3 linked regions of the Caenorhabditis elegans genome follow. The protein of the gene in region 2 purifies or fractionates together with the protein of the main gene of each other region. This does not show direct contact. Each region holds a gene or a part of one and is shown on either strand. Other genes may lie near its edges.

Region 1 (7,599 bases), on a different chromosome or scaffold from region 2:
GTATCCTTCATTTTCTCTTGATGCTCTTCCCAGTGAGTTTTGATTTCATCTAGGCGAGCTCGGGAGCTTTTAATTTCGTCTTCGGTTGGTGCAACTGCTTGATCTGATAGTCGCTTTGATGGGAAGAAGAATGTGTTGTTTTGAAGCGTTTTACGATTTTGTCGGGCTTTCTCGTAAGCTTGGTCCGCAATTATAGTCTGTGATTTCCAGCAAGCTGAACAATAATAAATATGAACTATTTATCTAGTTTCTAACAATGGACTTACACATCATAGCACCAAACTCCTGACTTGCGCCTTCAATGTGATTTGGAGAAGTATTAACGTTTGTCATCACTGGATTTTCTAATTGGTATCTCGGATTCTCCACATTTGGCCTTTTCTGTGGTGACGCCTCGTCGCACACATAAGCATCAGCAATCCATTGAAAATTTACAACAGGAACTTTCCATTCTTGAGCTCTTGTAACTTTGTCAGCTGGCCTAAACTTTACGAATTAAAAATGATCTTACTAGGGAGTGTTTTAACTATACGGTGCGATCGGGTAAAAGTAAACATGTTATGCGATAACTGGCATCTAATTGTAAAACTTACAGTAATTGTAAACTTACTGTTTGGCAATTAATAAATCATTTTGCCTGGCTAAGAATGGTGTAATCTTTGCGCCCATCATTTCAGCCATAAAAGAAATTGCGGCACGTTCGGAACTGTCAAAGCCGGACAATGAAAAAAGCTGAAAACATTGGTTATGAGATATTTTAAACCTTAAAGCAAGAATTGTACCTTTCCGAGATATGGTCTGAAATTTTCATTGAACGGTGGTGGTAAATGAGCAATTCTCCAAGGTAATTCAACTCTTTCTCGTTCCATTACATCAATAATCCATTGGATGGAGACAATTCGCTTTCGATGTTCCAATGATGTCATAACATTTGTATTACGACAGGAATCAACTAAGACATGCGTGATTTGATGGATTCTTTCATGGAATTTTGAAGCCTCAAATTCAATGTCCCCTCCGTGATACTGAAAATTTACAATTTATAGAATGATGATTAAATAATAATAATTTGTAGCTTACTTTAATCATAAATTCCAAATTCTTACGATCGAGTTTGTCCTCAAACAACTTTTCCGAATCGAAGCAATGAAAGTGAATACCAGTTAAATAAAGTTCTGGATCAACATTCATTTGTATCGGGAATGGGTTCACATCGTGATGCATTTGATTCATTTGGTTCATTGTATTCATTTGATTCGGCTGTTGTGGACGATACACAAACTGTGTGGCTCCAGCTGATTGAGGCGGAAGTGATGATGCAGAAAGAATCGGTTGAGGTGTTCCTTGGGTTTGTGGAAGTGGTTGGGATGGAAGAGCAATCGGACGCATTCCATGAGATGTCATTTCGTCTGGAAAAAAGGTTTATGTTGTTCACAGAAAATTGTTCACAGAAAATTGAAGAGGTGTGCGGTATGTGGTTTCTGCATTTGAAGAAAATCAACGTTTTCTATCGATTAGGAAGTACCTATGTTTAAAATGGTATACGATGGGTAAACCGAGTTTTAGGCTAGCTATCAGTATTTTATCCAAATGCCGTACACTTCTGATGCTGAATGTATATTCAATGAACATCATAAAACAAACTATGCAAGCTTCTCGGTAAAACGGGAGTATGCTGTTGAGATTGCTGATTTGGGGACATCAATGACGGTGATCTCAAATCAGCACCAGGTGCTCCTGGAGCAAAATGCGGCGACGATGTAGTACCAGATGGGCCCGGCGGAGCAAAACGATCTGAAGTATTTAGTTTACAAACTTGCAATATTGTTATTCTTTTTGTTTTCAATCATACGTGGAGTTCCAGGGGTCGGTTGCTGTTGTCCTGCCTGAGGCGAAATGTACTGTCGCATTCCTGGTGGAGCAGTTGGCTGACCCTGTCGAAACATTTGATGAGCTGGAGACGAGAATGTAGGGGTTCCAGGCATGCCGGGATACCCGGGAGGCTGCCCAGTAGGTGTCATCTGTTGTGTAGGTGGATAGGTGAACTGCGCTTGTTGTGGCTGTGGATTTGTTCCTTGAGGGTACTGTGGACGTTGTGGAGTCCCTGGAGGTCCTGTTCCAGGTCCGGCAGAGCCCGGGGTCGTTCGAGGAGCAGCGGGCGCTTGTGCAGGATATCCAGGCGTCATTGGTCCAGGCATTCCAGGTGGATAGGCTAAAAACTACTATTTCATTTCTTTTTATTGTTTTAAATTAGTAGACAAAATACACAATTCACTCACCTCCTGGCGGATACGGTACTGGAACTCTCTGTGCTGCCGCTCTTTGTTGGGCTTGAGCTTGCGCCTGAGCTTGGGCTTGAGCCTGAGCTTGTGCTGCAGCTTGCCTTGCATACATTTGCTGCTGCCACTGAGCCGCCTGCTGTTGCGGATATCCCGGAGGATATTGCGATGGATGTCCGGGATGTTGATGCATTTGCATCATCTGATGTTGCCGATACGGTGAATCGTGCATTTGCTGCGGATTCTGGGCATATTGTTGTTGCTGAAGATGTTGTTGCTGTTGTTGTTGAGCCGCTGCTGCCGCTGCCATTGCCTGGAAAAAATTAATTTTAAAATTAAAACTTAATTAAAATCTACCTGAGCATGTTGTTGCTGTTGCATCTGTGCTTGCTGATAATCGTACGGAACGGAAGTCGGTGGACCACCGGCGCTCTGAGGGGTCCCACAATTTGAGCCAGGCATACCAGCACTTTGCGGTGTCATCGGAGTTCCTTGCGAATGTGCGGGACTTTCTAGGAGATAAAAATTCATTTAAAATATTCATAAACACAAAAACCGACCTCCATGAAAGAATTGTTGTTGTTGATGTTGTGGGGGATTGCCCATTTGATGGTTCGGTGTTCCAGTGGAACTCCGCTGACTTCCAGGTGTGCCTGATCCTGAATCTGACAGGAAATTAGACATTTTTACTTTTAAAATGTGTGTTCTCACCTCCTTGGAATATATTGGCTGGGCTCATCGTGGGTGTTCGCTGCCATGTTTGTGGCGGTGGCTGAAAAAATAAATTTGTAATTTTGATAGAAACAGAAAAATTAAAATGAATCAAAACCTGTTGTCTTGGTTGTTCGGGCATTACAAATCCCGACGGATTTTGTTGTTGTGGCACTTGATGAAGTTGATCGTTGGCAAGAGGATTTTGGATTCGTGATGGATCCAAAAGACCCAAGGGAGGAGAATCGGGACGATGTTGAATGTCTTCCTCCTTACTCAACGGGTCCGCCATCTCCTAAAATTGTATTAGATGATATATGATATCAGAAAGGGAAATGATAGATATTTAAAAGCATTGTCAACTTTCTCTTGAAAAATCAAATAATTGGCGATGAGACGAAACATTTTCATTCGGGTCAGCATGGTTTTCAAAATAACTAAACAACATTTAACAACAAAACAAAATGAAACCGGTGGGAAATTACTCTGGTAATGGAAATGTAAGTATCATTCGGAGGAGCAAAATGTAATAATTGAAGTTGGAAATTAGAATTTCTTGTCAATCTCTGGAATGAGATCTTTCAAATTTGCCCATTGTGCTTTGCTCAACGAGATTCCTTTGCGACTTGGCATCATTTTCTGAGAATCCTGAAAAGAACAAAGCATTGATTTGCCTTTTACCACTTCAAATTACTCTGTCAATGTAATATTCTCTGATGTTGACATATTCCTTTCCCTTGAACTTGCTGACGGTCGCGTATCTAAGATTTCCGATCTCAAACATCTGAAACAATTTATTTAACATTTATAAATAATAAAATAATTACCTCATTTCCATCGCTGTCTTTCAATCGTCCAGACACTTCCTCCTCATTCTTAGCTTTCTTTACTTCTTGTTTCTCTTCTTCAACGGCTTCTGACTGCCTTTTCTGAAAATTGACAATATTTCAAACTCAAATTCAAAACAAGACCACCTTTGACTTGGTTTCCTTCTTCTTCTGTTCTTTAGTCACTTTCTTTTCAAGTTCATCTTCAGATGAAGAGGAGGACGACATGTCTGTAAATATATCGATTTTTTGAGCGGCGACGTGTCATTAGACTGTGTGCGGGTAGTTTAATATTTGATGAAACAAAGTTATAGGCTGAATATAATAGAAAAATGAAGTTATACTACCTTATAATAAAATAAAAAGTGTTTTCAATTAAAAATAAATTTAAAATTGTTCGAACAAACGCCTTGGCCTAGAACTTTCACAAAGGAGACTTCTAGGCCATATTTGATGAGTGTTCGGCCAGCAGCCTTTTTTTTTAATTTTTCAGCCGGATTTTTTGTTTCCCAATTTGTTTTTTTTCTTATTTGGAAATTGTGTACATAATTGTAGAATTATCATATATATTGTGTCTTCTGTGGTTAACTCGTCAAATTCATGCATTTCAAAAACAATATGAACGCGCCAAATGATTGTTTCCTCGCGACACCATCAAATTAATTGCTCTCATAGTTTGACCGCCTTATCATTATAATCGTCTTATCAACATGCATTTTAGATGGTAATTATGCGGAAAATAAAAACCATTTCTTGCGTAAATCACGGAAACTGGCTCGCCCGAAATGATACCTCAAAATACAAATTATCAAAGTTTCTGTTCAAAAATTGTTTAATTCTCTAAATTCTTCCGTCCTAAGACCATGATTATAGGTTCATAATAATTTCCAGATCCATTAATTTCGACCTAATGTTTTCTACAGTTTGGAAACATGTTCTTTGTTCTGTTTTTCAAAAATCATCCCATTGTGATGTGGTTCTGTAAAAAACTTTCCACATTTTCATCGATTTCTCCCATCTCTTCTCTCGATTCGGAACTTTTTTTTGCAAAATCTATCGCCCGATCACACCGAAAAGGTGACCTTCGTGTGGTTTTCACCCAGTTTTTCATAGAGTTTTCATACATCAATCCTAGTACCTTTTTACCACTTCAATTTTATTTATCAGTTTAATTTTTTTGTTCACAACTTTTGATTATGCGTCTAAAAATGATAACGCTGTAAACTTATAATGCACATCACTTCAATGAACAAACGTTTGGAAACGAGATGTAACAAATGTTCAACGTTTTTCTTGATTTCAACATGTTTCTTCAATTTTTTGGAAGTATTTTGAGCCCGGATGCGAGCCAAAGTGCACGTCTTATTTGTCAAATCGAATTTAGCTAAAATCTAATTTTCCAATTTTCATCCTTCATTTTTAACACGAAGAGCGCACTTTTCTTCTTTTTCATCTCTCAAAAACTCATTTCTTCGTCTCATCAGCCTCTGACCACTGTGCTCTTTGGTAGGAGCAAAAAGAATATTAATGGCGCGATTTTCCATGAATGATAATGTCTCTGAAAGGAAAATGTCGTTTTCATATTTTTGTGATATGCACTACTACCATATGACATAGATCTACACATGACTATTCGTTTTTATTGCAAGATTTTAAGGATAAATTCGGTGTTTTTTCATCTAAAGTTCAAAAATCTCCTTTTTCTGCGGTTCATCATTCAAAATTCATCTGCAATCATTTAAAGTATTTCTTTTTCCTTTTCAAGTACTACCCCGGCGCGCAATTTTGCAATTTTTACGTCGAAAATACGGTCTTGACACGCCAATTATTTTTTAAATAAAAACGGGTGTTTGACAAACCGTGATAAAATTATGCAAAATCGATAAAAATTCTGGAGTAACAAAATTTTAAAATTACAGTACTCTTTAAAAGCGCACACCTTTGCTCATTTACCAAAAATTTGTCGTGTCGATGCCGGGTACCGTATTTTTGTCGCAAAAATCGAGAATTTTCGCGTCTGTGTAATATGAGTTAGTCTCTCAAATTTTTAGAACGTTTTCTGGAAGTTTCTTCGGAAAAATGTTCATATTTAATATCAGAGAACAGGTGCTCAAAAAACTTGAGATCATACTACGATTAGCTGACATGTGACCCCATAAACTCATTTCTAGCAAGATCTTTGTTTACTGTCAATTCAAAAACCTGTTTTGAAATATCAACTCTCCCTCTCTTTACATTATTCGTTTCCTTTGCTCCTTCTTTTGAAATAATTTACTAAAAATACGTTTTTTTCTGTTTTTTTAGGAATTTTCAATCCTCCTTGGGTCCCACCGCTGTGATATCAAAATGGTATTACGAGAGCAAGAGCATGAGCCATTCTTCATTAAAATTGATGGAAAATGGTGTCAAATTGACGATGCTGTCCTGAGATCACATCCAGGTGGTAGTGCAATTACTACCTATAAAAATATGGATGTAAGCTTTCTATTTAATTAAAAAAATAAAAAGCGGTCGGTTATATCGTTATATCTTATTCTTATTAGTTATTCTTATATATTATTCTTATATTTCTTATTATATATATTATTATATATATTATATATATATCTTATTAGATTGTTATATCGTTATTTACGTGTAACTCAAATAAGTGTGTACGTGCCCGTAAATTTGTTCCTTGTGAACAAAAATGTGCAAATTCAGTGAACAATGTACAGAGAACACCCCTTATCACGTGCATCACATGTGAAGTTTAATAAAAAAAAACGCCAAAAAGAGATAATCCGAGAAAATGATTAGTCTCTCAAAAAGGAGGAAGACATAAATAAAAATTAATAATATCATGCCAACATTCAATTTATCGGAATATTTCATTAAAATAATTTTGCAGGCCACTACCGTATTCCACACATTCCATACTGGTTCTAAAGAAGCGTATCAATGGCTGACAGAATTGAAAAAAGAGTGCCCTACACAAGAACCAGAGATCCCAGATATTAAGGTAACAATAATTTCAAAAAATTTACTGTTTATCCTAAAACGGGATTTTTGAAATCTGATTTCGAGTAATTCAATTCAAAATTCTAGCGCAGTATACCGTTAAATAATAATCCAAAACATATGAAAAATATCTACAGGATGACCCAATCAAAGGAATTGATGATGTGAACATGGGAACTTTCAATATTTCTGAGAAACGATCTGCCCAAATAAATAAAAGTTTCACTGATCTACGTATGCGAGTTCGTGCAGAAGGACTTATGGATGGATCTCCTTTGTTCTACATTAGAAAAATTCTTGAAACAATCTTCACAATTCTTTTTGCATTCTACCTTCAATACCACACATATTATCTTCCATCAGCTATTCTAATGGGAGTTGCGTGGCAACAATTGGGATGGTTAATCCATGAATTCGCACATCATCAGTTGTTCAAAAACAGATACTACAATGATTTGGCCAGCTATTTCGTTGGAAACTTTTTACAAGTAAGTCACATTTTCAATAATGTACTATTCACTTTTCACAATAATTAACCGAATAAATAACACACTTAATTCTTCAGGGATTCTCATCTGGTGGTTGGAAAGAGCAGCACAATGTGCATCACGCAGCCACAAATGTTGTTGGACGAGACGGAGATCTTGATTTAGTCCCATTCTATGCTACAGTGGCAGAACATCTCAACAATTATTCTCAGGATTCATGGGTTATGACTCTATTCAGATGGCAACATGTTCATTGGACATTCATGTTACCATTCCTCCGTCTCTCGTGGCTTC
Region 2 (8,113 bases):
GTTCGAATTTCCAATCAAAAATTCAGTATCTCAATTTAAGACAGACTCCTTTATTTTTGCTATTGGTTATTCGAAGAAAAAGGACCGAGTTTAATAACATAGCAACCATCTCCAAGTAGTCGAATTCGAAGAAGACGAAGCAAAAGAAAGCAATCATTATTTCTCAGGTGATCATGTCTTTTTCAATTTTCAGAGGCTAAAAAGTTTCGGTCTTCAAGATGGTGAAATATTTAAACTGAAAATTTATAAAATAATTAACGATCTAGATCTCACAAATGAGTAAAATCAACTCAATTCAATAATTCAGATCTCCTATGCGCTTTGAATGTAGCCATTTTCCCTTATTTCTCATCATTCTCACTTGTCACATTTCTCCATTGAAATCTAGTCAAAACTATCAATGGTCATATGATTCTGATGTTTTTGGAGGTCCCCATTTTTGGGGTCTTGTGGAGAAAGATTGGTGGATGTGTAAGAAGGGAAGATTGCAATCACCAATCGATATTCAACCAGATCGACTTTTATTCGATGCTAGTGTTAAGCCAGTCAGGTTGGATAAATTACCGGTGAGCATGAATAATTATTGAGATTTTTTAACTTGAAGACAACATTTTGATTGCAAAATCGATTTGTTAATTTATAAAAAGCGGCGGACTTCCAAAGACGTTCACTAAAATATTAAAAGGAGACCGAAGAACTCGGGGGATTGGCCCCGCCCACAGAACCGTGGCTTGCAATACGCCCATTTCTGCAACTGCCGCACGGTTTTAAAACTGTATTTTTCTCAATAGAGCGAGAATTAACAAGAAAAAATAATTTTAAAACCGTGCGGCAGTTGCAGAAATGGGCGTATTGCAAGCCACGGTTCTGTGGGCGGGGCCAATCCCCCCGAGTTGGTAATCCCCCCAATTGGACATCCCCCGAGTTCTTCGGGTCTCATTAAAAGACTTTAAAGATTACTGTAATTTCAAACTTTCAGTTATGCGGAATTGAATTTTTTCCTAATAATTTATCTCACGATTTCTTTAAAACTTATGCGTTACATTTTTACATGTGAGTTTTTAACAAAAATACACATATTTTTTATCGAAACAACTATGAAAAATCGTTTAAAATTCCACATCAACAAAAGTTTGAAAACACACAGTAATCTTTAAAGGCGCACACCTATTCGCATGTAATAAAAAATTAGGGACCTGGAACCGTATTTTTGGAGCTAACATCGCAAAATTTCGCGCCTGGGTAGTATACATCATAATATTTCACGCGCAAGTTCCACAACTTCAGGTTGTCTCAGAATTTGTGAACACCGGTCAAATGGTTCGTGTTCGAATAGGATATTCCTCTAAAAAACCATCCGTCAATATTACAAGTGGTCCATTATACGGTTATAGGTATCGGTGAGTGAAATGATTTTTAGATCGAGGTGCAAACGCGCTCCACGGTCAAATGTAAAGGCTCCACCCTCTAAAGTTGGGTCCCGTTAGGTATTGGCGGCAAAACCATAATTTCAAACATTTTCAAGCATTTTTAAATATGTTTATGTTGTTTTAAGGCTCTTTTAGTTGAAGTGGTGTGCAAAAAAAATTATTGACGTTATTAAGAGTTTGAATTCACAAGTTTTCGCCAATTCCTAACGAGACCCAACTATTTGGGGGCGGAGCGTTTTCATTTGGCTATAGAGCGCGCTTTCACCTCGATTTCAAAAACGAAGTTTTAAGAACCCGCGTGATATACCATTCAAGCTTTACAGGGTTCAACGAATCGATTTTCATATGGGTCGTAAAAATGAGAACGGAAGTGAGCATACAATAAATGGACGACGATTTCCGATGGAAGTACAATTAGTTGCATATAATACAGATTTGTATCCAAATTTTACGAGCGCCTCCAAGTCTCCACATGGAATTGCAATTTTATCAGTTTTGGTAGATGTGAGTTGCTTCGTTAGAAATTGTGTTAAATCTCAAATTTATATATTTTAGTTTGGACCTGAAACTAATCAAGAACTCATCAAACTAACAATTGCAACAGCTAGCATCAGTTACAAGGATCAACGTGTCCAACTTGCTGATTTCGAACCTTGGCGACTTCTTCCATTCACTAGAGATATTATCACTTATGAAGGATCTCTCACTTCTCCTGGATGCCATGAGACTGTCACTTGGATTATTCTGAATCAACCTATTTTTATCAAAAAGGAGCATGTAAGTTTTTTAATAGTCTATAAAAAACTTTGATTCTAAATTTACAGTTCGAGGAGTGGTCACACTTATATCTGAGCATGGAAGGCGCCGAGAAAGTCCCCGTTGCCCCAAATTTCAGGAAAATTCAAGAAACTAACAATCGACTAGTAAGAACAAATATTCAGCACAAGGTTTGGATATTTCTTTCATAAAAATATCTGAAGAAAATTATTTGAATTCCAGATGAGCTACAATTGCAATGTCTCAGTGAATAAAATCCACTATCGTGCAAATCATTTGCCACTGCCAAAACAACAGCATTCTTCTCGTCGCCACAATAATCCATTTGTCTGAAAAGAAAACTCCCGACTTTGCTCAAAGATTTCTCACGAATATTTTTCAAATTGTTCTTGTTTTGCAATAATTTTTTCGACTTTTTATACAATTCTGAAACTACACTTGCGCAAAACATGTCTCGTTTTGTTAAACTAAACAACTCGAAGCACACACACAAATGGATGACGTTAAATATGATGATTAATTGTATCGTCCAGCATTGTTTAGTGCTTCTCACGGTCAGCCTCGAATCCAACTCCTGGAACAAATTGCTCCGCCTTGTTGTGGAACAATGAGTGATTTCCATCGGACCATGGGAATGGCTGAAATTGAATATTTATTAGGAATGCATTTTCAGAATGGATTGATTGATTTTCAAGAAAAAAATGTTGGCGATTCTAAATTGCAAAAAAGTAGGAAAGTTTTTGCTAAAATCTTTAATTTTGTCAACTTTTCTGTGTTGCAAACGTCGGAAATGAGTATTTATTTTATTATCATCCTTTTTTCATGTTTTGGTTGTTAATTTTACGTTATTCCGTCGATTTAGGTCAATTTTAGTCTGATAGACCAAAACAATAATTCAATAAAACTGTATTCCAGCAGCTGCAACTAGAACATGTTGGCTAAATTGGAGATTTAGCTAAAATTTTTCTTACTCTTTTTTTGAAATTTTTAACCATCTTGGGAATTTATTGAGACCAATCGTTTTTTTTAATTACTGAGAAAACGCCAAATTATAAAATTGTATAATCATTTAAAAGCTTGATTGTAGAAATTAAAATTCCAAAAAAGCGACTGTTTTTTTTTTAATTCGTTTTGAATATTATTAAACTTCACAGTCATCCTTTTTAGTTTGAAAAATGCCAGAAAGATGACATTTTTAAACAGTTTGCCGATAACTTCTTTAATGAGGAAGACATGAAAGCTAAATAACATTTTTTAAGTAAAATTTTAAACTATGGCAGATTTCAAGATAAAAACGAATATTTTACCTTGTTGCGAACGTTCAAGAAGGCGTACTCGACGTGCTCTGGGCGTTCGTGGCTCATGTGTTTTTTGTGATCCTTGAAGGCGGCATACATGGTAAGAGCCAAGCATGGAATCGAAGCAATGAAGAAGATTTTCTTCCAGGTCTCGCTAGCATCTGAAAAATATATTTTAATCTTTGAACATCAAAATAGAAACTATTTATTTTAAAAAAAAACACTTACTGTGAGCTTGCTTGAGTGGAGTGACATATGACTCTTTGAATCCTTCGACATTGTTGGATCCGTAAAATGATCCTGAGGATTTGCGTTGGAAGGTCTTGACGACCGAGCGGGTAGCTGGTTGAGCGAGACGGTTCATGTCGGATACCTTTAAAATTTGAAATGAAGTTGAGATTTGTGAGAAAAACGGAACGCGGGGGGAGAAGGAGGGGGAACAAACTTGTTTACGTGAAAATTGAGAAAAAAAGAGAAAAATCAGGTGATTTGATGAAAAAGTACAAAATTGTGATTTTTAAATCAGAAAAAGCAATAAAACAAACTCACAAAATAAAAACAAATGAGGTTTTTCTTACGTCTTAAGAAACCTAATAATTGCTATGAAGAATTTTAGAAATTTAAACCCGACAATAATGATTGAATGACATGGTTGAACACTTGCAGATTTGAATTCGAAAAAGTGGAATTTCTAGTCGAACAATATCGATTTACGGCTGCGGTTTATATGCTATTGTGGTTAAAAAATTCATAATTTGTAATTTAATCATTTGAAACTCAAAAATAATCAATAAAAGCACTGTTTGTGAAGTAAAACCACAGAAACGCACGTTTCCTCAAGAGAAAATAACGGAGAGGCCGTCTTCGCTGCGAGACCAGCCGGTGAAATGGCGTGCGCCTTTAAGGTGTGTGAAATAATTGTGCTGCAACATGCTGTCTAATTTGCCTATTATCTCCGTTAGAAATGCTTCAAATTTTCTGAAACTTTGTTACCTGTTAAAACATGACATGTAGAACGAACACATAAAAAATTATTAATATCGATTCATTGGCTAAAAAGTTATTGACGGAAATAAGTATCAAGTTTTGGTTCGATTCTTGCCCTTTTTGAGTTGCTTGACGGAGAATTGCGGAACCCACGAGATGTCTGCCGCCTTGCAGGTGGCCACTATATAAGCAACAACTGGTCCTGGCTGTCTCGTTCTTCCGAGAACATATACTAAAATTGGAACAATACAGAGAAGATTAGCATGGCCCCTGCGCAAGGATGACACGCAAATTCGTGAAGCGTTCCAAATTTTTTTTAAAATTTCGCGTAACCTACCGGAAGCTCGTAAAATTTTTGCCTTTTGAAGATTTTACGACTGATCCTCTAATGTACAGAGTAATAATTCGTTTGTCCTGAATCAATCAATTCACAAAGAAGTCGAGACTTTTATGAGTCGTCCTGTAGGTGTCTATTTCTTTCAGAATTCTTTTTCAATATATGTGAAAAATAGATAAATACAACACGTATATTAAGAGCAATAAACATTTTTCAAAAAAAAAAGCAAAAGGAACAAAAATTACAGGGAAAGCGAAAATTCAAGAAATTTATGAGTTCTTCTGTGGAACCTTGATGGTGACAGTCTTTACTTCAGTGTATGCCTCAAGACCATATTCTCCGAGTTCGCGACCGATTCCTAAAAGAAAAAGTATTTTTTAACTTTGGCATGGAGAAATTTTAATAATAAATTAGCTTACCGGACTGCTTGAATCCTCCGAATGGAGCAGCAGCATCGAACACATCGTAACAATTAACCCAGACAGATCCAGCTCTGGTTGCGTTGGCAATATGAAGTGCCTTATCAATATCCTTAGTCATAACTCCAGCAGCCAATCCATAAATAGTGTTATTAGCCTTTTCAACTAATTCTTCCATTGTGTCGAATCTAATGATAGTCATAACAGGTCCAAAGATTTCTTCTTGAGCAATAGTCATCTGATCCTTAACATTAGCGAAGATAGTTGGCTTCACAAAGTGTCCTTGATCTCCGTGTTTGGCTCCTCCAGTCACCAATTGAGCTCCATCCTTCTTTCCAGCAGCGATATATTTTAAAATAGTCTCAACCTGCTTTCCGTCAACTTGTGGTCCTTGAGTAGTTTTCAAATCAAATGGATCTCCGATAACAGCCTTCTCGGCCAATTCCTTGGAACGAGCTACGAAATCATCATAGATCTTTCCTTCGACAAATGTTCTGGATCCGGCACAACAGCACTGTCCTTGATTGAAGAAGAGTCCGTGGTTGGCTTGATGAACGGAATCATTGAGATCAGCGTCAGCGAAAATGATGTTTGGTGATTTTCCTCCGAGTTCCAAAGTGACCTTCTTGACATTCGATTCTGCAGCAGCCTTCATAACAAGTCTTCCAACTTCAGTTGATCCAGTAAAAGCGACTTTGTCAACATCCATGTGCGACGAAATAGCTTGTCCGGCAGTATGTCCGTATCCTGGAATTTATTTATTTGAGAAACTCACAATTTTTACAAAACTGACCTGGAATGATATTAACCACTCCATCTGGGAATCCAGCTTCTTTTGTGAGAGCAGCCACGTGAAGGGCTGAAAGTGGAGTCTGTTCGGCGACCTTCATAACGACTGTGTTTCCCATAGCCAACGCTGGTCCAAGTTTCCAAGCTTGCATAAGAAGTGGGAAGTTCCATGGAATAATCTGTCCGCAGACTCCCACCGGTTCGTGACGAGTGTAAGTGAAGTAGTCACCCTCGATTGGAATAGTCTTTCCGTGATTCTTGTCAGCCCATCCGGCGTAATAACTGTAATAAAGTTATTTTTTAATGTTAGCCATTTTTCCTTTTTTTACAATAAATTTTAATTTTTCTCATCAATACAAACAAAATTTGATTCAAAAAATTGCATTTTTTGGCTGTTAATTTTCTAAACAGTTTTTTTTGATTTACGGTTGTCCGGACAATCAAAAATTTTTGTTTTTCGATTTTTTTCTCTCATAAAATTGAGAATTCGAAATTATTTTTGTAGATCTCTTTGCTCATTTGGCAGTAAAGTTTTTCGTTTTTTCTGAGTTTTCTTCTTAATTACAGACTATTTTGGGATTTTTTTACAGCAAAATTCTCCAATTTATGCTATTCGAACTCACCGAAGAGTCTTGATAGAAAGTGGCAGATCAGCATTGTAAGCAACTGCATATGGCTTTCCATTATCCAAAGATTCCAAAGATGCCAAAATAACTCGATCTCTCTCCATTAAATCAGCTAGTCTATTCAGAAGAACTCCACGTTGAGAAGCATCCATTCGTCTCCACTCACTGCCGATACGGAATGCATTTTGAGCAGCCTAGAAAAGTTTGAAGATTGCTTTAAAATTCGAATTTAGATTTAAACCTTGACAGCGATATTGACATCTGTTTTATCTCCTTCTGCGACTTGAGCCAAAACTTTTCCGTTGGCTGGATTGATAGTCTCAAAAGTCTTTCCAGACTTGGCTGGCACAAATTCATTGTTGATGAAGATCTGGAAATTTAGATATAAACTTTTTTGAAATTTGAATCCCTGATTTGGAGAAGTATCACATTTCGTCCTAATTCTGCCCTCTAAGTTTATTTTCTCAAATCCGATCATCGTTCAGTTTTGATTGCCCTATCTCACTGTTGACCGAGTTCATTGTTCATTTCGTTCTCCACCTCAGGCGACCACGTTTTCCCTATGAGATAGTATCAGCTCTCTTCTTTTTCTTTTTATTATCATCATTTTAAATTGATCGTACTCTGTGTACTAGGTACACAACAGAGCACAACGTTGAGGGCACGTGGTTCCGTTGAAATAATGTAATGAAAACATGAGAAGAGAACATTTTTGCAGCAGAAAAACAGATCAAAAGGTTCAAATTCATCTTTTTGGTTTCTGTTGCAGTTTCTGATAACGGCGGTTTCAAAGCGCACGTAATGTGATGTTCTTGTAACTTTGAATTTCGCGGAAAATACGGATTTTTGAGAAAAACCAATAAGATTCGATGCACAATTTCCACTTTTGTTTTCTTTTTCTTTAAACACAAATTACTTGAAAATCAACGTTTTTAGAAATTGGCGATCCAATGGGCTCCGTAATTTTTTCTTTCAAAATTCAAATTAGAGTCTCTCTCAACATTGTCTCCATTTTCAAGGTTATCCTGTGTGATTCCTATCTTTTTTGCAATTTTTTTAAAACAACGTTCTGAGAAACTTACGCCGGTGTATTGTGGTTTCATGTTGGAAAGACCTGGTGGAACACCGGAGGCATTTCGTGCCTGAACTGTTGCCCGGAGAGCTGAACGGAGCATTCTGAAAATAAAAATTATAAAGGATTTACCCGAATAAGGCAAGATTTTAAAGAAATTAGAAAGAGGACGCAAAATAAAAATTTACAGGTGAATGAGGTTAGATATTGTGAGTTCACAGCAGCTCGTTTCTTCATAGAACATTTTAAATTTTAATTAAATAGAAAATAAACTAGTTCCAGTGGTAATTCGGAAACATCGAATCAGTATATCTAAAAACTGTGGCAAAAAGTGAATATCAGTATTGCAGAGACTTCTGACAAAATTATTCAAAATCG
Region 3 (8,156 bases), on a different chromosome or scaffold from region 2:
AAAATCTGTTTAATTAACGTTTTCGGTACTTAAAATCCTTCCGGAAATTACGAAATTGCTAAAAATGCAAGAATTCTTGTTAAAAACGTGTATTATTCAATTTTATAGTAAACTAATTTATTAGCAGTGAAATATTTGAAGAAAAACTTCGAATTCCTCAATTTTTTCATTTTTCAGTCTAAAATTCAAGTTTTCGATTTTTCAAAGCTCCAGGATTCACTTTGAGCTTCTTTTTTTCAACGATTAGTCTCAAAATTAGTTGAAAATATCCAAAAATCTACATTTCTCGATTTTTCCGTTCAAAAACTGGTCAAATATGCAGAAAATTTCCGGATTTTTGGTGACAAATAAATAGAAAAATGCAAATTTGGTGATAAAATCCTTTTGGAAAAGACAAAAAAGCGAAGAATTTCTGTTAAAATCGTATAAATTTGATTTTTGGCTGAGAATTGGCGAAATTTAAGCACATTTTGAAAACTGCTCAAAATCTCTAAAAATCTACATTTATTGATTTTTCAATTCAAAAACTAGTCAAATATGCGGAAATTTTACGGATTTTTTCCGAATTAGACTAATAGGTGAAAAAACCTTTCAATTCTACATTTATTACGGGAGCACGAAATTCTAAGAATGCGTATTGCACAACATATTTGACGCGCAAAATATCTCGCAGCGAAAACTACAGTAATTCTTTAAATTTCTACAGTAGCGCTTGTGTCGATTTACGGGCTCGATTTTCGAAATAAATTAGAATCATTTATCGATTGATAGAGTTTTCGAAAATCGATCCCGTAAATCGACACAAGGGCTGCGGTAGTCTTTTAAAGAATTACGGTAGTTTTCGCTACGAGATATTTTGCGCGTCAAATATGTTGTGTAATACGCATTTGCAGAATTTTGTGTTCTCGTAATATAAAAGCAAAATAAGTAGAAAAATTCGATTTTTGTAAAAGAATCCTTTTGGAAATGACAAAAAATACTTGAATTTTGGCTGAAAATTGGAAAAAAATACAAAACACATCAATGTTTTAAGCATATTTTTATAAAAATTTCGCCGAAAAATACTACATTTCTTGATTTATCCGTTCAAATAGTCGAAATTTTGCGTTTTTTGCAATTTTAACACTTTTCGAAGGAGAAAAACGCGCAAATTTACGTAAATTGAGCTAAATTCAAATTTTTCAGTTCAATCCGCGAATGTCTGAAGCTTAATCCGGATCACAAAAAATGCTACACCTCCTACAAATCACTGAAGAAAATCGTAAAATCCCTAGATTCTATGAAGGCATCAATCGAACAACAGGAATGGACAAAATGCCTGGAAACTGGTGAAAAACTTCTGGAAAAGAACGAAGAAATTCCGATTCGGATGAACATTTTCCGATTGATGTGTCAATGTAATCGAGAAGACGGAAATCTAGGAGAAGCCATTCAACAGTGTACTCGAGTACTGGAATTTGATGATTCTGATGTGGAAACGTTGATTCAGAGAGCTGAAGCTTATATGGCAGACGAGGAGTATGATATGGGTCCGTTTTAGAAGTTACTCTGCAAGCGCGCTCCACGGCCAATTTAAAAGGCTCCGCCCCAGAACGTTGGGTCTCGTTAGGAATTTGGTGGGAAATTCATGAATTCTAACAATTTTAGGGTGTTTTTAATGAGTTTTATGTCTAAAAATTGGATAAATTTCGTCATAAAAATTATTAAAACAACGGAAACCATTTTTAAAAAGGGCGCGAAATACCTAACGAGACCCAGTCGTGGGGGGCGGAGCGATTGAACATCGATTTTGCAAGCCGCCGCACGCTTTTATTTATTTTTTCCTCGTTTTTAACAGGAAATTTCGAACAGAATTCAAATAAAAATGGATTTTTACTGGAAATGCTTTTTTAAAATTTTTTTTTTCCAAAAAAAATCCGATTTTAATTAGTTCGAATTTTTCTGCTGAACATGAGAAAAAAATCTGCGCCGCGCAGAAAAATGGGCGGGGCGTAATTTTGCAACCTTCTGTGCGGGGCAGGTTTTCGCAAGCCGCCGCACGTTTTTTCCTCATTTTCAACAGAAATTTTCAACGAAATTCAATGAAAATCGGATTTTTCATTCGGAAAATCAATAAAAGGAGGAAAAACCGTGCCGCGGGGTTGCAAAAATAAGCCCCGCCCCTTTTTCTGTGCGGCGCAGGTTTTCGCAAGCCTCCGCGCGTTATTTCCTCGTTTTAACAGAAAATTTTGACGAAATTCAGAATTTTTCATTGAAAAAAATCAATAAAAAGGAGGAAAAACCGTGCCGCAGGATTGCAAAAATAAGCCCCGCCTCTTTTTCTGTGCGGCGCAGGTTTTCGCAAGCCTCCGCGCGTTATTTCCTCGTTTTAACAGAAAATTTTGACGAAATTCAGAATTTTCCATTGAAAAAAATCAATAAAAAGGAGGAAAAACCGGTGCGACACGGTTGCAAAAATAAGCTCCGCCTCTTTTTCTGTGCGGCGCAGGTTTTCGCAAGCCTCCGCACGCTATTTCTTCGTTTTAACAGAAAATTTTGACGAAATTCAGAATTTCTCATTGAAAAAAATCAATAAAAAGGAGGAAAAACCGGTGCGACACGGTTGCAAAAATAAGCTCCGCCTATTTTTCTGTGCGGCGCAGGTTTTCGCAAGCCTCCGCACGCTATTTCTTCGTTTTAACAGAAAATTTTGACGAAATTCAGAATTTCTCATTGAAAAAAATCAATAAAAAGGAGGAAAAACCGTGCCGCAGGATTGCAAAAATAAGCCCCGCCTCTTTTTCTGTGCGGCGCTGCTTTTCACGGATTTATCGATCATCAAAATCTAATTTCCAGCAATCGCTGACTACGAAAAAGCCGAAGAATGGGATTCATCAAACGACGCCGTCCGAACTGGAAAAGATCAAGCAAAGCGTGCAAAGGAACTCGTCGGAAAACGAGATTACTACAAAATTCTCGGAGTCCGCCGGAACGCCAATAAACGAGAAATCACAAAAGCCTATCGAAAAATGGCTCAAAAATGGCATCCGGACAACTTTCAGGATGAGAAGGAGAAGAAGAAAGCTGAGAAGAAGTTTATCGATATTGCCGCGGCGAAGGAAGTTTTGAGCAATGAGGAGAAGCGGCGAGCTTTCGATAATGGACAAGATCCACTGGATTCGGAAGCAGGGAGGGGTGGAGGTGGAGGTGGAGGATCACACGGATTTCATAATTTCCACGGATTTAATCCATTCGGCGGTGGTGGTGGTGGCGGCCGTGGTGGCGGCGACTTTTTCTTCCATTTTTAATTTCATATTTCATTATAGATATAGATATTATTGTGTCATTGGATGTGTTACCCGGACTATTATTGATCTCTTAACTTGCTTCTTTTTTTTTTTATTATAAATCTTTTTATGTACTTAGAAAAGATTAAAAAGAAAAAAGAAATGAAAACTACAAAAAATAAGGCGATTTCTCTCGAAACTAAAGGCACTTCAAGTATCTAGTTGATACGATTCCACTGGAAGTGATCAGTCTTGAATTGTCCCGGTTCTGGATGATTGTCGACGTATGGCTTCGCGATTTTTCCGTCGAGGAACAGCTTGCAGCGTTGTTCACGGATGGCGTCAGCTCTCTGGAAAATTGTTTTTCGATTATTTTGGAATTTCATGTGATGTTTTTTAAAGGCGCACGGGTTTATTCAGATGGGTCTCGATGCGCAGAAAAAAGATTATGGTAGTTTTTTCTCTTTCAGGGCAAAAAAACTGGAGAACACACATTTAAATTTTTAGGAAAATCGAAAACCAAAAATATTCGATTTTATCAACAAAAAAAATCCAAAAGTTAAAAAACCAAATTTTTCAGAGTTTTCGATTTTTCTTTTCTTTAGAAATAGGAGAAAAATCGGAAAAATTGCATGAAAGAAGACGAGAAAATAAACTCAAAAATCAGAAAAATGAAGGAACATTTTTTTAAATTAGAATTTTAGAAATTTCCGGAAAATGAACGAATTTCGTAATGAAACTGCTCAAAAATTTTTAAAAAATTTTTATGGCGGTTCAAAATTTTGAAAAATAACACTGATTTTAGCTAAAATCACGAATTTTTCCCATTTTTCCGTGTCACATCTGTCCGTAGTTGGCTTTTTTGGAATTATCGTCCTTTATTACATATATTGGTAGTTTATCTCATTTAATTTCGTCGATTAAAGTACATTTAAAGCCGATAGGTAACCAAAAATCATCGAAATTGGTTACCTATCGGCTTTAAATGTTATTTGATCCACGAAATTAAATGAGATTAATTACCAATATATGTAATAAAGGACGATAATTCCAAAAAAAGCCAACTTCGAACAGATGTGACACGGAAAAATGGGCAAAATTCGAGATTTTAGCCAAAATCAGTGTAATTTTTTCAAAAGTTTGAACCGCCATAAAAAATTTTTGGAAATTTTTTGAAAAGTTTCATTACGAAATTCGTTCATTTGAGAACATTTTGGGTCTATACGTTCAAAATCGTCCGAACCGTTAGTCCTCCGTTAAAAGAATAAATTCAAGGGATCAAATTTATTTGGTTTTCACTAATTTTTTGTTTTTTAGTCCAATTTTTTTTCGCGACAGTTCTGTTCCGGATATCGAACCTTCTTCTGTTTATCCCCAGTGACACACTCCTGGAAGTCACGATGCTCGAGATCACAATACTTGCGTCCCATCTTTGCTCCGTAAGCCTCCATACAACGGTAGAATTGAGATTCAAAGAATCCGCAGATACGTCCCTGTTGGGAGAGTGGAACCGAAAGAGTATCGGTTATTGGAGCCTTTACGATTGGTGACAATGATGTGAAGTTCTCCGGATTACGGTTACCAGTTGCCATTGCGGATGTTCTGGAATTTTGGAATTTTATTATGAGTTGAGAAGCAAAATATCGATTTTTCGGTTTTTTTTTCAGAGATAATCAGAAAATGTTTTAGAAAAAAAAACTAAAATTTTAAAATCTGTGTTAATTTTTTTATGTCGATGAGGAAATGCATAAATAGGAAAAAAAACATTTTTCTCAAAAAAAAAGAAGAAAAATAGCTAAAATTTATAGACATGTTTCGAAAAAAAAAAATAATTTGTCTAAGTATCGGAAAATCGAAAAAAGAAACACACTAATATTACGGAAACGCAAAATTCTGAGTGACCCGCAAAATATCTCGTAGCGAAAACTACAGTAATTCTTTAAATGAATACGGTAGCGTCGATTTACGGGATATCGATTTTTTTTAAAGAAAATTAATTTTAATATTCAATCGTTAAATTAATTAATTTCAAAAATCGAGATCCCGTAAATCGACACAACCGCTACAGTAGTTATTTAAAGAATTACTGTAGTTTTCGCTACGAGATATTTTGCGCGTCAAATGTGTTGTGCAATACGCATTTTTAGAATTGTGTTCCCGTAATAATTTCAGAATTACCCAAAAAATCCTAAAATTAAATACTGTTTGGATAAAAAGGCACGCTACAAGATCAAAAAAGCCATGAAATGTAATTTTTGTTGAATAAATTTCGAAAAAATGCCTCGAGAGAAGAAAAATCATGAATAATCTCAAACTATCACGCAAAAAAAAGGAAAAATGGTGAAAAATCCCAGATTTTGGAAAAATTTCAAAAAAAAATTCCCAAAAAACTAGATAAAACCAATAAAATATTCTTCTAGAAAATTGCTTTTTTTTCAAAAATTCAACAAAAATTTTTTTTTTGCAAAACCTATTCGCAATTTAAGCTATTTTTCCTATTTTCGGTGGATCCCAGCAAAATTTCAGCAAAATTCCATCCATCTACTAATTTTTCCGCAAAAAATCGCCAAATTTTCCAAATCTTTGTATTCAAAAATTGTTGAAAGTGGATTCCAAGTTCAAAAAAATTTCGTCAATTTATTTTTTTTATTCATACTAACTTTTCTTCAGGAAAATCGGCTAATTTTCCGAATCTTTGCTACTAAAAAATTGTTGAAAATCCACAAAAGTCTTTTCCTCTTTCTCCCAGTTTATTCATTTTATTATCCGAGCTTCTCCCCCCCCCCCCTCTCTCGTCTTTTTCACATCTTTTTCGTAACGGAGGTCTCCTTTTCCGTTTTCTTCAACGCTTTTCGCAGCACACAAAAATCGATATCAAGCGCAGTAGTGTGTGCTCTTTCTCTCTCGGAGCAAGAAGGCAACTTGGGGCTCTGTCAAACATGGACGCCGTCTATAATCTCGTTGAATGTGAGTTAAATATATTAAATTAATTTCAACCGATTTTCATGAATTTTCAGCTGTTCACGTTTTTATTCCTGTCGTCGCGCTTCTCGTCTTTCTCACAGTTATTTATATTAATTCGAAAACTCCTGATGAGCCGGGTGAGTCAGCTTTTTGAATTTTGTGAGAAAAATATCGATTGACCCAGGCGTGTGCGGAAATTGCCGGAATTTTTCATTTTCGGCAAATTGCCTATTTGCCGGATATCGATATGACGGAAATTTGTAGAGCGATTTTTTTAAAACGGAAACACTCCAAATTGTGCCTTTTTAAAATTTTTTCCCATTTTTCGTTAGATATTTTCATAGAATTTTTAATTTTTTAAAATAGATGTAAGAACATTCATTGGATGCCTTTTTTAAAAATTTCTTTGCCTATTTAAATTGAAATTCTTCAAAAGTTCCAAAAAAATGTGCAAGGCCACAATTTGCCGGAAATTGTCGATTCCGGCAATTTGCCGATTTGCCGGAAAAATAATTTTTGGCCATCTTTTGCCAATTCCTTCTGTATTTAACATTAAAAATACTCGATATATATCTTTTTTTTTTAGATTTTCAGGTAAAAATCGATGATGTTTTTTTTTCTATGAGAATTTTTAGTTAGTTAAAAAATTTTCGATTTCCGGAAATTGATTTTTCGAGAAATATGTCAAAGTTTTGGTCATTTTTTTTTAAAATAAAATTATGTTAGATTTTTCTCATGAATATAAACAACATAATTTTCCAATTATTTTCGGGAAAATATAAAAACTAATTTTTTTTTCGATATTTCCAAAAAAACAAATCTATTTTTCGAGAAATCTCTCAAAATGTTGGTAATTTTTCGTTTTTTTTTGTTTTTTGAAAAAAATTGCAGGGTTTCCTATGCTTTTTCTCATCAATATTAGCTTTGCTCCGAGAAAATCCGAAATTTTATTTTTTATTTTTGAAAAAAAATTCGTTTTTTTTTCGAGGCATTTTCAAAATTTCGATAATTTTTTGCCTTTTTTAATGAAAAAATTTTTTTTTTCCTCAAAAAACAATTTTTTTTTTCGATCATCTCTGAAAAAAAACCGAGTTTCTCAACGAAACCCTTAGTTATAATAAAAAATAAAAGAAAAATGCAAATTCGGGAGCTTCAACCGACTATAAAAACCAACGAAAAAAAACTTAAAAATTCAAAAATCAAATCAAAATACTTTAATCTTAATCAGAAGCGGGACAGAAATGTGGAGGGAAAAATGGGGAAAAATCTACAAAGTAAATGAAAAATAGTCTAAACTAAAGAAAAAAAAGAGGAATACTTTCAGATACGGCGCTGAAGAAAGCGACTCAAAAAATGACACCGAAGGAGCCGAATGCAAAGAAATCGGATTGATCTCTCGAGATGGCAATTGAGAAATTGAAGAAATGCTCAAAAAACTGTGGAAAATAGAAAAAAAATCAAATATATCTTAAAATTTTGGCCATTTTTCTTTTTGTTTCTCATCAACATACACAAAATTTAATTTACAAAATTAAATTTTATGATCAATTTTTCGATTTTCCTTTTAAAAAATCGGCTATGTTTTTCGCCAAATCTGCCTAAAAATCACTTTTTTTAACAAATTTTTGGGCATTTTTCAATTTTTCCAACTCTAAAATAGTAGCTATTTTCTGATATAAGAATTATTTTTCTAAATATTTTCCATCACAAAATATCAATAAAAATATTGGCTCATTTCGTAGAATCACCCCCTGGAGCTGGAGCATCCTAGACAGTGAGAGACAAAGAGACATCGAAATATACAAAAATCCAAAATTAATTATGGATTCAACTTTGGTAGATTAATCGTTCCCTTCACAAAAACCGCGAATTCTCCCTGATCATCGTGATCTGCATATTGTGTGAAGAAGACGTCTGCGGTGAGAG

What was found. Proteins that work in one complex are often made in the same cells at the same time.
Region 1: the proteins of cox-6A (region 2) and T13F2.2 fractionate together in Caenorhabditis elegans (co-fractionation; one large-scale study listed by BioGRID). This does not show direct contact.
Region 3: the proteins of cox-6A (region 2) and nduf-5 fractionate together in Caenorhabditis elegans (co-fractionation; one large-scale study listed by BioGRID). This does not show direct contact.

What each region holds. Positions count from the first base shown.
Region 1 is NC_003282.8:9,793,308-9,800,906, forward strand, and holds T13F2.2 (Putative RNA polymerase II transcriptional coactivator), read right to left. Parts: upstream 4,048-7,599; 5' UTR 4,046-4,047; coding exon 3,965-4,045; intron 3,920-3,964; coding exon 3,818-3,919; intron 3,775-3,817; coding exon 3,685-3,774; intron 3,639-3,684; coding exon 3,537-3,638; 3' UTR 3,381-3,536; downstream 1-3,380. Other genes in the region: pis-1 (PAX-interacting protein 1), read right to left, coding at 1-214, 267-481, 611-732, 783-1,025, 1,081-1,409, 1,645-1,794, 1,853-2,212, 2,280-2,592 and 4 more; Delta(5) fatty acid desaturase fat-4, read left to right, coding at 6,164-6,292, 6,708-6,818, 6,955-7,305, 7,383-7,599. UniProt on the Caenorhabditis elegans protein: General coactivator that functions cooperatively with TAFs and mediates functional interactions between upstream activators and the general transcriptional machinery. Binds single-stranded DNA.
Region 2 is NC_003281.10:5,077,491-5,085,603, reverse strand, and holds cox-6A (Cytochrome c oxidase subunit 6A, mitochondrial), read right to left. Parts: upstream 3,879-8,113; 5' UTR 3,870-3,878; coding exon 3,734-3,869; intron 3,667-3,733; coding exon 3,515-3,666; intron 2,846-3,514; coding exon 2,747-2,845; 3' UTR 2,617-2,746; downstream 1-2,616. Other genes in the region: cah-1 (Putative carbonic anhydrase-like protein 1), read left to right, coding at 315-566, 1,288-1,400, 1,754-1,934, 1,986-2,207, 2,255-2,398; alh-1 (Aldehyde dehydrogenase domain-containing protein), read right to left, coding at 5,099-5,187, 5,249-5,995, 6,042-6,319, 6,661-6,857, 6,905-7,033, 7,746-7,838. UniProt on the Caenorhabditis elegans protein: Component of the cytochrome c oxidase, the last enzyme in the mitochondrial electron transport chain which drives oxidative phosphorylation.
Region 3 is NC_003279.8:2,997,980-3,006,135, forward strand, and holds nduf-5 (NADH dehydrogenase [ubiquinone] iron-sulfur protein 5), read right to left. Parts: upstream 4,869-8,156; 5' UTR 4,859-4,868; coding exon 4,625-4,858; intron 3,617-4,624; coding exon 3,485-3,616; 3' UTR 3,381-3,484; downstream 1-3,380. Other genes in the region: dnj-28 (J domain-containing protein), read left to right, coding at 1,186-1,529, 2,836-3,287; Y54E10BL.3 (CcoQ/FixQ family Cbb3-type cytochrome c oxidase assembly chaperone), read left to right, coding at 6,206-6,233, 6,284-6,367, 7,555-7,622; Dual specificity mitogen-activated protein kinase kinase mek-2, read right to left, coding at 8,050-8,156.